Neurospora crassa OR74A: one gene and its partners. The protein of the gene in region 2 interacts with the protein of the main gene of each other region in a pairwise test. Links are inferred from orthologs where the notes say so. Each region holds a gene or a part of one and is shown on either strand. Other genes may lie near its edges. The genes, in order: eat-2, NCU07438, NCU04724 and NCU09572.

Region 1 (2,117 bases), about 1.2 Mb from region 2:
AACGCAGCCCCACGCTGCCCTGCTCTCCCATACATCTCTTCTTATTGTACAGCTCATGGACATCACAACCATCTGCCCGCAGCAAACACCAGCGGATCCAATACTTGGCACTGGTACATCCAATTACCCGTCATCCAAGCTATTGGTTGGTACGACAACGACGACTCCGCAGGAGCACTTTAATAGCATAACAACGTGAACGCCAACCGACCGGAGAGGGAAGCAGGAGAGTGTGATGGTTCGACTTTAGCTTGGCCTGCCAGAATGGGAAGAACTAGGAAATGCAAGTCAAGAGGGAGACAGAGACCAGACTTTCAAGCTGACGTGGGGAACGAAAAGAAAAAGAGAAAACAGCATAATGGACCAGGCGATAGGAAGGAAACGGAACTTGAACTCCCTCCACCAGAGATTTTCTCGTTCTGAATCTTGCTGCACGAACGAAAGCAGCCACCGATGACGAGACAACGAACGGGCTGCGACAAAAAAGCGAAGAGAGGGAGTGAAATGGGCCGTATAAGCAGACGTAGGGAAATTGGACAGCCGAGGGCTGAAGGACTGACGTGACAGGGGAAGGGGAAGAGGAGGCGGAAAAGGGGTGATATTCAGCAGCACAAAGCACGAAATTTGGTCGCCTACTCACTCTTGACGTATCTGGTAAACTTTCTGGCAGACCGACCGATCGAGCGAGCAGCGAGCAGCGAACGCGAAAATCGAAACCACAAAAAAAGGATGTACATCGCCATAAAAGAAACACGACGGATGCCAGCAGTATGACAGCGGGAGTGGCGGTTTGCCTGTGTTACCAAACACCCGCGCGAAGAGCGAACGGAACATATCCGAGGCCGAAGTTACGACGGCCAATTGACGACTTCAGTGGATGAAAAAGAACAAGGTGGATGAAACTGAGTTTAACACTAACACCTGATGACTCCCAAAGGAATTCGAGCTAGGTACAGAGGGGGTAGTTGAAATATAAAACATCTGATGAAGATTTTGGAAGACGCTGCGGGACGAAAACAGAATGAGGGAGGGGATCTGGTCGGATGCATGTGCCCACGCTGCGCATTGAAGCGTAAAGCCAGCGAGATGAATGAAGCCACCGAGTATACTACCTCAACAACCCCATGTGTTGCGGGACAATCAGTCCTCATCCTGTTGGTACGAAATCTTGCGCATCTCGCCAAGTCTGTGGCGAGCAGCATTCAATGCGTTTTCGAGTTGAAGGATTTCGACCTGTGATGGGGAGAGAATGAATTGGTCAGCAATGAACCATAATAGGCAAGACCAAGGGTACCGGAAATGAAAGAGGAAGGAAATCTCGAAGGAATCACGTACCTGTTGCTCCATCTCGCGCACCTTGAACTCGTGCGACCCAAGCTTGCTGTAGTCCACTTGCTCATCCTCGGCACTGCGGTCCTTGATCATGCTCTGGACTTGTCTGACGAGCGCACGGCAGGCGGCACCGACAGCCTTGCTGGCCTCCTCCAGGCTCTCCTGGTTCTTGCTCATGAAGCCGGCCTTCACACGGCTGGCAGCCACGAGCTGGGCGGTGGAGGCCGCAACATTATTAGATGCAACGATGAGCTGCTCAGGGCTGTTGCGGTTGGAAAGAACACCGTCAGCAGTCTCGATGAGAGTGCTGGTAGAGTTGGCAACAGCCTTGGCGGCGGAAATAAGACCCTCGGTCCATCTGTTGTTCTTCTTGTAAAAGGCGGTGCGCGAAGACGAGCCACGACCAGCTTGCACAATCTCCTGCTGTGTAGCGGTGGCAGCCTTGATGAGCTGCGCGATAGCGGTGGTAATGGCCATGGCGGCATCGAGGATTGAGTCGTGGACCTTGAGTTCGTAGGTAGTATATCCATCGCGAGGTTTGTTCTTGAGCTTCTGCAAACGGGCAACGGCAGCAGCAATGGCATCGGCTGCCCTGCTGAGTTCTTGATCGACGATGTCGCCAAGGTCACCCTTGTTAGCGAGCTGGCCAAAGCCAGGAGCGAAGGTCTCGACAAGCTTGTTCAGCTTTTGCAGGTTGATCTGGACATCGTTATTGCTGTTGATGACAACGTCGGTCTTCTGAAGTGGATCCATGCCCTCAAGGCGGAAGCTCAACAGACCACGGA
Region 2 (4,357 bases):
CTTGGAACCTTGTTGTTTTCCGGTGGCTCTTCACCGTGTCATTGTTGGTATCGGGCACTTAGTCCCAATCATCACCATCATCTTCATCATCTGTTTTTCCACCAGTGTTAGCATCATTCTCGACATGCTCTCACACTTCACAAGCCAGGGATAATCCAGATACTTACCACTCTTGCTAACCTTCTCCTTTCTCTTCTGCAACGCCAACGCCAACGCATCCGCCATTCCACCACCGCCACCCGGCGCAGCTCCAGCGGGCGGCAATCCACTGCTTGCGGGCCCACTATCGGAGCCACCAGGAACAGCAGCACCGGAACGATCGCGAATCTGGCTTCTGTCTACCTTCTTCAACGCCCTGATACCTCCCGCGGTCTTGATGCCGTCCAACACGGCCGAACGACTGCCGTCAACAGGTGGCAAGGCAGGGGCGGGCGGTGGAGGCATACCACCTGGAGGAGGGGGAGGAGGAGGGGGAGGGACACCACCCATACCACCCGGTGGAGGAGGCGGAGGCGGAGGCGGTGCGCCGCCTGATGGTGCGGGCATGGGTGGCATGGGAGGCGGCGGCGGGGGAGCATGTGCTGCGGGTAGAGGGGGCGCCGGAGGTGCTGGCGGTGCCGGTGGTGGCGGAGGAGGCGCGCTGGTTGCGGGAAGGGGAGGTGGTGGAGGCGCCTGGGTGGCCGGTAAAGGCGGCGGAGGTGGCGCGTTCGAGGTCGGGAGAGGCGGTGCCTGCGGTGGTGCCGGGCTTCTAGTTGGCAACATGGGGGGCGGCCGTGAGCTCGCAGGCGGGAGGGGAGGTGCTGGTCCCGGTGCCTTGGGAGGCAGAGGAGGTTGCGCAGCTGAATTTCTCGGGGGCGGTGGCGGAGGAACAGAGCTACGGCTGGGAGGCGGCGGGGGTACACTTCGTTGGCCTGTGAATGGCGGAGGAACGCTGAACCTCTGGCTCGGGTCCTGATCTTCGAGTGGCGTCTTCGGCGGCCGGGGAGGTGGTGGAGGTCCAGGCGCAGAGGGCGTATGTCGCGGGGGATCAGAGTGGGCAAACTTGCCAGCATCGGCGATGGGAGGAGGAACAGCAAATCTCGGCGGAGGGGCCGGTTCCTGGTGGTTTTCCGTGTCGAGCTTGCCGGATCTCCTTGCTGGAGGGGGAGGCGGGGGTACTGGCCCTCTCCTAGAGGTCGATGGAGTTATCGACTCGGAGACACTGCGCGGAGCAGCAGCAGGAGGAGGTGGTGGGGGAGCTCTCATTGCGGGACCATTAGGAGGAGCGGATGGCGGCGGCGGCGGCGGCGGAGGAGTGCTCGTGTGTATACCCTGCTTCGCTTGCTCCTGTTTCAAGAACTCAATGATAAAGTCCTGGTTTTCGCGGATGAAGTCGTCGTCGAGGCCTTGGGCCTTGAGGTCGTCACCGAAGTGTTCCCTCCACAGGGGATCGAAAGCATCCAGGGTCGCAAACTCGGAAGGAGGCTTGTATCCGTTTATTCCATTAGTGCTTCCAGCTCTCATACGGCCTGCCGGTGCAGCGGCACGTGGCGACTCGGGCGGGGTGGCTGTCGGAGACGCGTGCTTATGTCCTCCAAACAGACCGCCGAAAAGACCGTGGTGCTTGTGGTGGTGTGCCTGGGATGCGCCTCCGAAAGGTGTCTTGCTGGTAGCCTTGCTGGCGTTCTTTTCCCTGTCGTTCATCTTCTTGAGGAACTGCTTGGCTTCCTTCTCGTCCACGAAGGACAAGCCAGCCAGGCATTCCTCAAGCTCGAAGGTATGGAAGAAGACACGGTCCTGGTTGTAGTTCCAAGTGTCGAAGATCTCCTGGTCCCATATCACTCCCCTGTTTCCGGGCTGTCCGATGTCAGCCAAATGGTGGCCAGCCACGCAATCGTCATTTTCACACTTACCGAGATATCAACCATCTTGATCCAATATGTGTTGCCCACGAGATCATTTGCCAGAACGACGGCACCCTGGAGGCCGGTATAGGTCCATCTGGACGGGTTGGGGTAGGCTACATAGAGCCTGGCGACGGCGACGGCGTGGATCTTGTTGGTCTGCTTGGGCACGCAGCGCTTGACCGTTTCCTTGTCGTCGTCGCTGAGGATGGACGGCATCGTGAATATATATGGGGGGTGGAAGCGTGGAAGTGGCTTGAGGTAGGTTGCGGCCTGTCGTCCCCTTTAGATCGTCCAGGGGGAGCAAAGCATGGATAGATTGGGAGTCGTTATGCGGAAATTCGGTAGAAGGACTCGGCCGGCGGGCGCAGCGCCGAGAGGTACTGTTATGAAGCTGAGTCGTCGTGCCTTGATCCGGTCGGCGGGTCGGTCGGCGAGGGGAGGGGGGCAACGTCGACCGAAGGGTGAGGTAGCAAGTCGGAAGTGGGATGTCGTATTAATGCTTTTCGGGTCGTTGGCGCTTGTTATCGACGGCCAAGTATCTTGTCGGTACAAGATAAAGTAAAGCTCCGCGCTTCCGTGGCCTTGCCGCGTAGGAATAAAAGCAGTTGACGGAAGCCTAGAAGAGACAATGGAAGTTGCCGGTTAGCTAGAGGTAGGTCTGGGTATTGGAGGCACGGATGTTTGGTGGTTGGTGGGAGGAATAAGGAAGACTCGGCCGCCCGGATGTCCAATGACTGAAAGGAGCAAAAGCAGATACTGAGTAGAAGAGACGGCGGCAGGCTGGGAATAACGTACCTCGGACAATGATCCAGCAGCCTTCAGTTGGCAAGCTTAGTTATAATCTGCCGTGAAAATTCAATGTATTAAAGCTGTACAGACTACAGAGAGAGGAGCAAGTCCCATTGCAAGGTAGACAAGAAGGAAGTTGAATTGCGGGTGTACCTGGCAAGAGGTTCCTTAGGCATGCAGTGAGTGTACACTACTTAACTACACTATGTACGGGGATTGGGAGTTGCATCACTACGGCGGCGGCAACGACCGGGCTGTTTGGCTTTGACTGAATGGAATCAGGATGGCAACGAAACCCCAGCAAGCCACAATGACCAATTTCCGACGGGAAGCGACCAACTTGTGGACATGAACCAGATAGCGTCATGACATTGTGCCGGGGGTGGATAGGGCGTCAATTGTCCGTGTCCACTAACAGTGGGTACCTATCCCTCAACTGAACCCCTCCACTATTCCCGCCCGCCGCTTGCACAGCCGACCTTTCGCTTGCCCGCCGTGATGATGGATGTCCAACGAGACGGTTCCTCCGAGAGCTGGGTGTTTGAGGGACATGTTGAAACTGGCAATGACAACAACTTCCATGTGCATTTGGAGGTTATATGGCTCAGGTTGATATAGGATGAAAGTAGTGTAGGTATGTACGAACATGGGATGACATGAAAGTACCTACCTACCTTCACATGCTAACATTGCTCCCATTTGAGACAACTTTCGAGGACCAGACCCCTCTCATTTGGGCGCAATTCCACCACCAAAGTCACTTTAGGCTCCAACAGGACTGATCCATCAGAGTAATTGTCAAAACAGTTCAATTATGTTATGTGTATGTGTGTGTATCATTCAGTCATTGCAATCATTCCATCCATTCCCCTGTTTGTCCGAGTCCATATCTTTACTTGTTGAGCGTCTCGGCCTTGGCCCTGCGCTCCTCCTTGGTGCCCTCCTCGCCGCCGATGTTCTGCGAGATGGCGGGACCGGGCATGGCCTTTGACGCCTGCTCGAACGTGGCCTTGGCACTATCAGCGAGCTTGTTGAGGGGGTTGTTGGGGTTCTTCTATTTGTTTGGCCAAAGAGTCAGTTTTCTGTTTTCTGTGATTCACACAAGGCACCAGACTAGGGAGGAAATGGTAACGTACTTGCTCGTCCTTCTGGGTGTCGTGGGGAAGAATGTTGACTTCCTTCTTGCTGAGATCGTCGCCGCCGGCCATTGTGATGGTCTTGATGTTATGACTTGTCTTGATGGTTCGTGAGGAGTGGGTCGTAGTGAGACAACTGAGAGGAGTCTTGATCAACTTTTTCGATATCGTCTTGCAGGAAGATGGGTAAGGTGTAGAAGTGGAAGGTTTTGAAGGTCGAGAAGGGTCTCTTTTATAAAAGAAAACGATGGATGAGCAAAAGGGAATAAATAGGAAGAAACCTGTAGTCGTCGTACCACGTACAAGGGGCCTAAAAGAGAGGGTGTAAGACAATGACGTCGCCTGGGGGTGGTCACGCGTCGTTTACTAGTGTAGGTATGCGGCGGCAGGCACACTGAATGACAGCTGCTAAAACCTCCCACGAACAGCGCATCAAACCGACAAGACGGAGCATTGGATCTTGACTCCGACTGGAGGGAACCACTCAGGGACCGCCATTAGTACATACATACAACACACATGATACCGTGATACCGTCCCGGGCGC
Region 3 (4,039 bases), on a different chromosome or scaffold from region 2:
GGTTGTCGGATTGCCACCTGTGAGCGAGTCAAAGATCATGGCTCTGCTAAAAAAGGAAGCATCCGTTTCTTCACAGTCTTCTCTGCCAGCCCGTGGGTTATTGGCACAAAGCTCTAAGAGCTCGGATTTGGAGTATGGGGGCGAATAGTAGCCATCCTGGTCGGAGGTCATCGTGTCCACAAGCATATGCTCTTGGGTATCGCCTTCTTCCCATGACGAATATCCAACCGCGACATTGTCGTCGTAATCGTAACCATGATACTCTGAGAAGGTTTCGAAAGATGGGAATACATATCCCCTTCTCTTGCCCTTTGGGCAGTCCCCATCAGTGTTTCGGCGTTTCAGGGAAGCTGAAGTAGCCGGATGGTAAAGCTCCGATGGAAGTGCTCCAGGCCCGTCCACGCCGTTGTTGACCGGTGCGGCATCATTGGCCGGAAGGGTTGTGGTAGTTGAGAAGGAGGACACATCACAACTGATAATAAGAACAAGTTAGCATTGCAGGCCAAAACATGAAGCGGGAGAACGGGCTTACGGAGCAGCGGAAGTTGCCGCACTGGAAGGGTCCATCATATTCAGGACCACACTCGGGTCATCTGTGTCTGTGACTGACTGGTCTTGGAGGGACAATGTCCGATTGGGTACAAAAAATCAAGACTAACGATACTGATGGAAGTATAGGCGCGTCACGGTATTGTCGAGGTCGAAGCCATTGGGATCCGATTGGCCTTTGGAAATTGAGACCGGGTGGTGGGAACCGGAAACTGCCTCTGGTGTTGACACGACTGGACTGAAAAGGACATGATGGTAGGAGAGGCCGGACGAGAGTCGAAGACGGAGGACTTGCGAAGACTGGACAACGAAGTGGAAATGTTTGAAATTTTCTCACTGTCCTTGAAAGCTGGCAAGTGCGAGTCGTCGAGGCGTTGATGCCCGCCTGATGATGATGATGGATGTACTTGTATACCTCTATGTATAAGTCGTACTTTCCTATTCTGGACGTCTTCAGCGGGCCCTTGAGGGCAGCTGGTGGGCGGGCGGGCAGCCGGACGGGAGTGAGCCAGGCAGGGAGGGTGACGGCGCCAAGTAATCTGGCCCCGCTTCGTAGCGAACCGAAGCCCCACCATTCGGCACCGGAGCCGAGATTTGTAGGGAGCTTGAGGCCTGAAAGCTAAACGCCAAGGACCGGCGACCGGGGCATTGTCAAGGAAGCATGGCTCCCTCTTTTTCGCTCCTTTATTGAAGGCGCATTGGGTGAGGTTGCTCACGAAAGAGCAATGTTCTGTTGGTGACGATGCGGTGATTTTGATTTTACTCATTTGTTTGAAGGGTTGTCGAAAGAAACACTGGGCGCGACGGAATCCGGTTTCACGGCGTCACACGAAATTCAAGCTCCCTCGTATCGATACCCCGCCATTGTTCGCTCCTGCGCCCGCCATCAGCCGCCCCTCGTCAAAGCTTCAGTCAGAGCATACACAGCATCACATCACTGCTGCGCAGGCACGACTGCTGCTTGCTGCCGTTTACCTTGACGCGCTTTCCTCGACAGATTGCGCTTCTTCTTAACGACAACGAAGAGCTTCCACCGACACTTTCCATCAATAAGTCGTACTAGGGACTTTTCCTGGTCAGGCCATTGTTAGCGACCGACTGCGATTGCGACTGCGACTGCGACTGCGACTGCGGCCATCTGACGATAACTGAACAACTTACCCAAAGTCGACGCGACTGTTTGGCTTGGCTCCCTTTCTTCAACCATACCATCCACCACCACTGCACAGCTTTCTCGACTTCTATCCCCGAGCTTTATTCTTTGCTATCTTCTACGACGAAGCAACCACGGCAATCAGCTTAGCGCTACTCCACGATACAATGTTCTCTTCCTCGGTAAACGACCAAAGGTTCCCTCAATAGCTGCGTCTCGTACATTCGCTAACAGCCCAGAACAGAAGCCCTACACGGCTGTTACGGTCGACATCGAACGTTTGACGAGTGAGACATTCGCCGAAGACGATCTCAGCGGCATCCCCGAGCTTATCGAAGCTATCAACCTCCAGGCTTCGGGCCCAACCGAGGCTGCCCGTGCCATTCGCAAGAAACTCAAATATGGAAACCTGCACCGCCAGCTCCGAGCCTTGACCATCCTCGATGCCCTGATTCAAAATGGGAATCCCCGCTTCCAGCGCTCCTTTGCGGATGAACCCCTTCTTGAGCGCTTGCGCTTCTGTGGCACCGCCGAGCTGTCGGACCCCTTGGTGAAGAAGAAGTGCTCCGAATTGTTTCGCAACTGGACTGTCTACAACCGCACTCACGGCATGGAGCGCGTCGCGAACCTCTACAGAGTAAGCTCCCTTACAGTCTACACTTTGACGTCTACCTGTCACGCTCACACCACTCCAGGAACTTCCCCGTCGCAAGCAAGTCGTTACCCAAGAAAAGTCCAAGGTACTTAAGGAGACCGAGAACCCTTTTGGCGAAGACGAGGAGGAAGAACGCCAGCCATCAGCAAGCACCTCAACTGCCCAGGCCAACACATCAACCACACACCCATCTTCCTCATCATCGCATAGGCCGACAGTGTCCAGTTCCAGTGGCCATTCTCACTCCTTCAGTCGATCCGGCAAGGACAAGTCAAAGAAGAGCAGCAGCAAATCCAAGAAGCACAAGCCATTTAACCTCGAAGCCGAAAAGGATCAGATGACCAGGACTATCGCCGAGGCGTCCATTGCCTCCACGAACCTGATGAACACTTTGCAATCCATCAATCGAGAGAAGGAGCGCATTTCGGAGAACTCAACTGCAGTGGAGCGTTTCGAAAAGTGCAAAATGCTTAGAAGGAACATCTTGAGATATGTACGTGACAGTGTCTCTTGACCATAGCCGAACGGTCTGCTAACAGACGCAGATTCAACACGTCGAATCTGAACAATGGCTAGGAGGCCTTCTACATGCCAACGATGAACTCGTCCAAGCGCTCATGACTTTTGAGCAGCTGGACCGCTCTATTGACGCGGACAGCGACTCGGATGATGATCTGGCTGAGCAAGCACATCTTTATCGGAGTATGTTCCCCTCTCCTTTTTGTTGTTCTCCCTCCCCTGCTAACAATTTCCAGTGGCAACTGAAAAAGCTGCCAAAGCCAAAGAATCCGGTGGTAGCGTACCCGGCAGTCCCCGCGCCCCCGTTGCGGGCATGGCTGGGCTCAGCATCACCAACACCCCTGCGAGCCCACCACCAATGCCTCCTCGTCCTGCGCCACCTCCCCGACCGTCTGCGGCTTCGAAACCCTCAATGTTGAAGCCGCCTACAAGAAGGGTGGAACCGTCTGATGACGAGGATAGTGAGGTGGATGAGGACGAGAACGATCCGTTTGCTGACCGGAATGCTGTCTCGACCCCTAAGGTGGAGAGTGACGAGCCCAAGTGGTCGTAGGCTGGGTGGACGTGGATAGCATGGCGGGGATGAAGTGATGATAATACGACATGGATACGAATTGAGTTGCTACTTGCTTACTGGATAGCCATTTGCCTGTCTAGGAAATATTTTTAGCGACAGCGAGGGACGATAGTAATAGTACGGAGGAGTAGATCGAGCAGGAAAGCGAAACACTTCGCAGCATTATCCTCAGTTGTTTTACCAAGTTTAGCGGTTCAGGGGAGAGGAATGAGTTATACCTTTTTGAGTTCTGGATGGCCAGTTATGAGTGGAGAGCGAGTGGTGTTTTCTTTTCAAGTCATGCCTTCGTGGACGGGAACCATCATTGCCATTCATCGTGCATAGCCAAATGGCGAGGCAACAGACATTCAGCACTCTACTTTCTGCTCCCTCCCTTGCAAAGAACCAAAGCTACATGACCAAGAAAGCATTCAACATCTATCAAGCCCCAACTCCCTCCCCATTATGATTTCGAACTCACCAAAGCAGTCCCATCCCTAACAAACACCCTCTCCCCAAATTTCCAAACCTCCTCAACAACCAACTGCTTTCTGCTTATCTTCCCGCTTCCATCCAGCAGATCCTCAACCTCAACTTCCACTTCCTC
Region 4 (3,420 bases), on a different chromosome or scaffold from region 2:
AGCGCCGGTAAAACATGCAAGCAACTCACCTGAAAACGAATGGTGCTTGGAATGATGTTTTGTTTTGGTTTGAGGAATGGAGAAAAGCGATCCAAAACAAGTCGCGCTGGTAACGACTGAGTCACCGTAAAGAGGGGGGAAAAAGCACTAGGATCAAAGTTTGCCTCCTAGTTCAAAAAAGTGGGAGGGGTTTGTCCGGGTTCTTGTGTTTGTCTTTGGGCGTGAAGAAGCGGAGGGCTGGTTTTAATGAACGATTGAAGAAGGCAGTTGTAGGTAGAGGAGAGAACCGTGACGCAGTGAGTGATGTGATGGGACTGGAGAACCCCAAATACCCCTCCATCACCCTTTCTCAGTGGACGGCGCACGACGGCGCTTTTGATTCCGCGTTGGTGCGTACACTACTATCACAGTACCTCTAAGCAGCGTAGTAGCGCTCTCGACTGGTGGTGTGCCTGTCGGGTGTGTGGCAGTCCCCGGCCGGATTTGCGTCGGATGAACAATTGCGCCAACAACAGCCAGCCAAGTCTGGACTGCTGGCTGATTTCATCATCTACGACGCGCTAGCACACGAGCTCCCGTGACTTATTGTCTTGGCATCCCCTCTTGTTTCTTCAATGTTTCTGCTTTCTGAGTCTTCTCCTCTCTCCTTGACGACGGGCCCCCCTGTTGTTCAAACAGGCAGCGGTGGGCGCAGCGCGGCGTTCACGGTGTTGAACTTCGTCCTATCCAACCAACATTCAGGTGTTGGCTCTCTTCCAGGTTGTTGGACTCGACCACGGCGTGAACCTCGGTCAATCTTCTTCCTTGAAAAATTCCGCCATAATGAGTAATGATGGGATGGATCCTTGGAACACCATCTTGAGCATGGAGTCCTGCTCTTTGTCTGGATTCCGAGACACAGCAGCTTAAGTTGCATGGAAAGCGGGCGCTCACGTCGAACGCGGTGGCTGACTACATGACACGTGAAGAGTCTTTGTGTAACTGAATCTTCCTCTGTATACCAATGGAGTGGCATTTTGACTTGTTCACATTCGCTCTCCTCCTTCAGATGATGCATTGTGCAAGACCTTCCGATTCCCCCGGGACTAGGTGGCTCCACTTCAGGCCGCAAAGATCCACTTTATCGGAGTCAAGCGAGCTGCTGCCTGTCCGATGACGAGGCCGGCTCCGGTAACTCTACACGTGATGGGAACCGGGAGTGCTTCATTGACTGTACCAGGCCTCATCCGGAGTCCGGACACAGCCACTGCTGAGCCACAAATTCAAATAGAAAGGTAACGCACAGACCAAGTCCAGCTCTACTGTCACAGAGTCCGTCACAGCGGCACGGTGCAAGCAGCGGTCGTCACCGCCAGCTCGACGTCAGCGCAGGAGAAGCCGCCATCGCCCATCGCTGGCACGCTGCAGGTCCAGGAAGGCCAGCCCAAGTCCAATTGACCCCATCACCCCGCAAGGCTGCGCCATAGAACCCGGACGCGGTCAAGTCAACACGACATCCCAGATTTACCTAACTTCCAACTTGAACACCATTTGCTTAATCTGGTAATAGCTTCATAGAGGGAGCTTGACACCAACCGTCACAATGCCGGTAAGCGCACCCATTCGCAAGCTCCCAACACCCAGCCGCTATGCGTATAGCTTCCCCAAGCTATACCAGCCAGCCAGCCAGCTACCCCTTAATCGTCAGACAAAGCTTCGTCCATGATCGCATCACCACCACCCACAACACCACGAACCGCTTTGCGCCCAATCGCATTTCTTCGCCTCTCGCCTCACCTCACACACAAATTCCCATTCTCAATCTCTCAACTAACGACGCCACTCTCTAGGCCTACAACTCCGTCTTCAACGCCGACCCCTCCCCCCGCCTAATCGGCAACTTCCCTCTCTTCCCGCTTCGCACCAAGATCCGCGGGCCGATCTACCCTCTCCCCTTCCCGGACCCTCCGCTCGCCGCCAACGAGTCGCCCGACCCGGACTCGGAGTCATACGACATTCTGGACGAGACGCTAGCTCTCTTCCGCGCCAACACCTTTTTCCGCAACTTTGAGATCCAGGGCCCCGCCGACCGCCTGCTGGTCTACGGCATCTGGTACATCAGCGACTGTCTGGGCCGCATCAAGCCGCACTATGGCGTTAGGGAGGCGACGAAGGAAGTGAACAATGCGGCGCTGGATGTGAACTTTGCGTTGCCGGGCGATCCTGGGTGGCCTTTGAATCAGGTGAGTTTTTTTGGCGTAAAGGATTTAGGGCGGAGATAGAATACGGTGAATGTGATGGGAGTAGATGTGGCCCGCGGCGGTGAACAAGAAAATGGATGGCAGCTAATAAGTTTGACGCAAAACAGATGTATGAACCCCCCCGCGACCGTCAAGACGCAGAAGTCCTCCGTCAGTACCTGTCGCAGGTCCGGCAGGAACTGGCGCAGAGGTTATTGGCGCGCGTGTACGACGACGAGACCGAGGACAAGCCGAGCAAGTGGTGGTTGAGCTTTACCAAGAGGAAGTTCATGGGCAAGGGACTCTGATGCGATGCCTTCCCTGTTCAGATGGCGTTGCATGGAATCGTTTAGCGCCAAAGTATAATACGTACTCTACACAAATAATATTTCAAGTTTCCTAGAGTGTGAGGGTGTGTTGGGGCGAGCGAGCAAGACTTTCAGTTGTTGTTGTTTTTGCGTGGTCCGGTTCGATCAGGCATAGATCGAGTACACATACACTTGAAACCCGATCATGAGCGACATGGGTTATATCTCCAGTTGACGTTCGATTAGTAGAATTACTGCAGCTCTATTTCGTGCAAATGGTATCTAAGAGCAAACGAGATCTATGCATATCGGTCATGCTGGTTCTCCTAACTGCTACCACTATCAGACTCCTGCTCATTGTTTGCCCGCCTTTCATGGACAAAGCATAATCATTTAAACCCATGGTCGCCTCCACTCCTCCTCGGCTGGTCGAGTCCACCTACTGTAAGCGAGCCTCGAAACGCTCTAACTGTCTTTTCCTTTCTGACTTTCCCTCGACCTCATTGCTTCCGTGGAAACCTCTGTGTGAGATCTTCCGATGCACGGGGAGAGAAGTGGCATCCTTGAACTCCCATAAATAACTCTTTCCGACCAATCCACTCATGCCGAAGCCGGCGTCGAAACGCTCTCCTCCACCTTTCTCCTCTTAAATTTGCCCTTGGCCGCAATCTTGCCCTCCGCTGGCTTCGCTCTCCATCCAGTAAAGATATATCCATCCGCACCACCGCGCTCCGTCATCAACGGATGCGTCCTGCCCGGCAACACCTGCCACCTCCTCGCCCTGCTAGTCTGGATGCTTGTGCCCAGTAACAGCGTGGGGTTGAGAGGGAACTGCTCGCTTCCCTCCCACTTTTCCAGCTCTTCGGCCGTCTTGCCCTGGATCTCCGCCACGT

What was found.
Region 1: the proteins of NCU07438 (region 2) and eat-2 interact in binary tests that used the Saccharomyces cerevisiae proteins (3 or more experiments, as listed by UniProt). The link is inferred for Neurospora crassa OR74A from reciprocal best matches to the Saccharomyces cerevisiae genes LAS17 and SLA2.
Region 3: the proteins of NCU07438 (region 2) and NCU04724 interact in binary tests that used the Saccharomyces cerevisiae proteins (3 or more experiments, as listed by UniProt). The link is inferred for Neurospora crassa OR74A from reciprocal best matches to the Saccharomyces cerevisiae genes LAS17 and LSB5.
Region 4: the proteins of NCU07438 (region 2) and NCU09572 interact in binary tests that used the Saccharomyces cerevisiae proteins (3 or more experiments, as listed by UniProt). The link is inferred for Neurospora crassa OR74A from reciprocal best matches to the Saccharomyces cerevisiae genes LAS17 and ARC18.

Annotation. Positions count from the first base shown.
Region 1 is NC_026501.1:1,867,957-1,870,073, forward strand, and holds the end of eat-2 (cytoskeleton assembly control protein Sla2), read right to left. Parts: coding exon 1,336-2,117; intron 1,234-1,335; coding exon 1,141-1,233; 3' UTR 596-1,140; downstream 1-595. UniProt on the Saccharomyces cerevisiae protein: Required for cellular morphogenesis and polarization of the cortical cytoskeleton. It might act in concert with proteins such as CDC42 and CDC43 to limit the region of cortical patch formation to the cortex of the bud.
Region 2 is NC_026501.1:624,898-629,254, reverse strand, and holds the start of NCU07438 (WASP-like protein las17p), read right to left. Parts: upstream 2,904-4,357; 5' UTR 2,682-2,903; intron 2,503-2,681; 5' UTR 2,103-2,502; coding exon 1,893-2,102; intron 1,837-1,892; coding exon 168-1,836; intron 91-167; coding exon 59-90; 3' UTR 1-58. Other genes in the region: NCU07439 (hypothetical protein), read right to left, coding at 3,568-3,729, 3,812-3,883.
Region 3 is NC_026506.1:549,975-554,013, forward strand, and holds NCU04724 (VHS domain-containing protein), read left to right. Parts: upstream 1-1,201; 5' UTR 1,202-1,869; coding exon 1,870-1,884; intron 1,885-1,946; coding exon 1,947-2,339; intron 2,340-2,397; coding exon 2,398-2,850; intron 2,851-2,902; coding exon 2,903-3,059; intron 3,060-3,112; coding exon 3,113-3,429; 3' UTR 3,430-3,785; downstream 3,786-4,039. Other genes in the region: NCU04723 (hypothetical protein), read right to left, coding at 1-472, 533-570; NCU04725 (N-acetylglucosamine-6-phosphate deacetylase), read right to left, coding at 3,896-4,039. UniProt on the Saccharomyces cerevisiae protein: Essential for the organization of the actin cytoskeleton, fluid phase endocytosis and vesicle trafficking, together with YSC84.
Region 4 is NC_026507.1:963,186-966,605, forward strand, and holds NCU09572 (ARP2/3 complex 21 kDa subunit), read left to right. Parts: upstream 1-1,328; 5' UTR 1,329-1,582; coding exon 1,583-1,588; intron 1,589-1,829; coding exon 1,830-2,222; intron 2,223-2,347; coding exon 2,348-2,527; 3' UTR 2,528-2,862; downstream 2,863-3,420. Other genes in the region: NCU09571 (tRNA (adenine-N(1)-)-methyltransferase non-catalytic subunit trm6), read right to left, coding at 3,128-3,420. UniProt on the Saccharomyces cerevisiae protein: Functions as a component of the Arp2/3 complex which is involved in regulation of actin polymerization and together with an activating nucleation-promoting factor (NPF) mediates the formation of branched actin networks.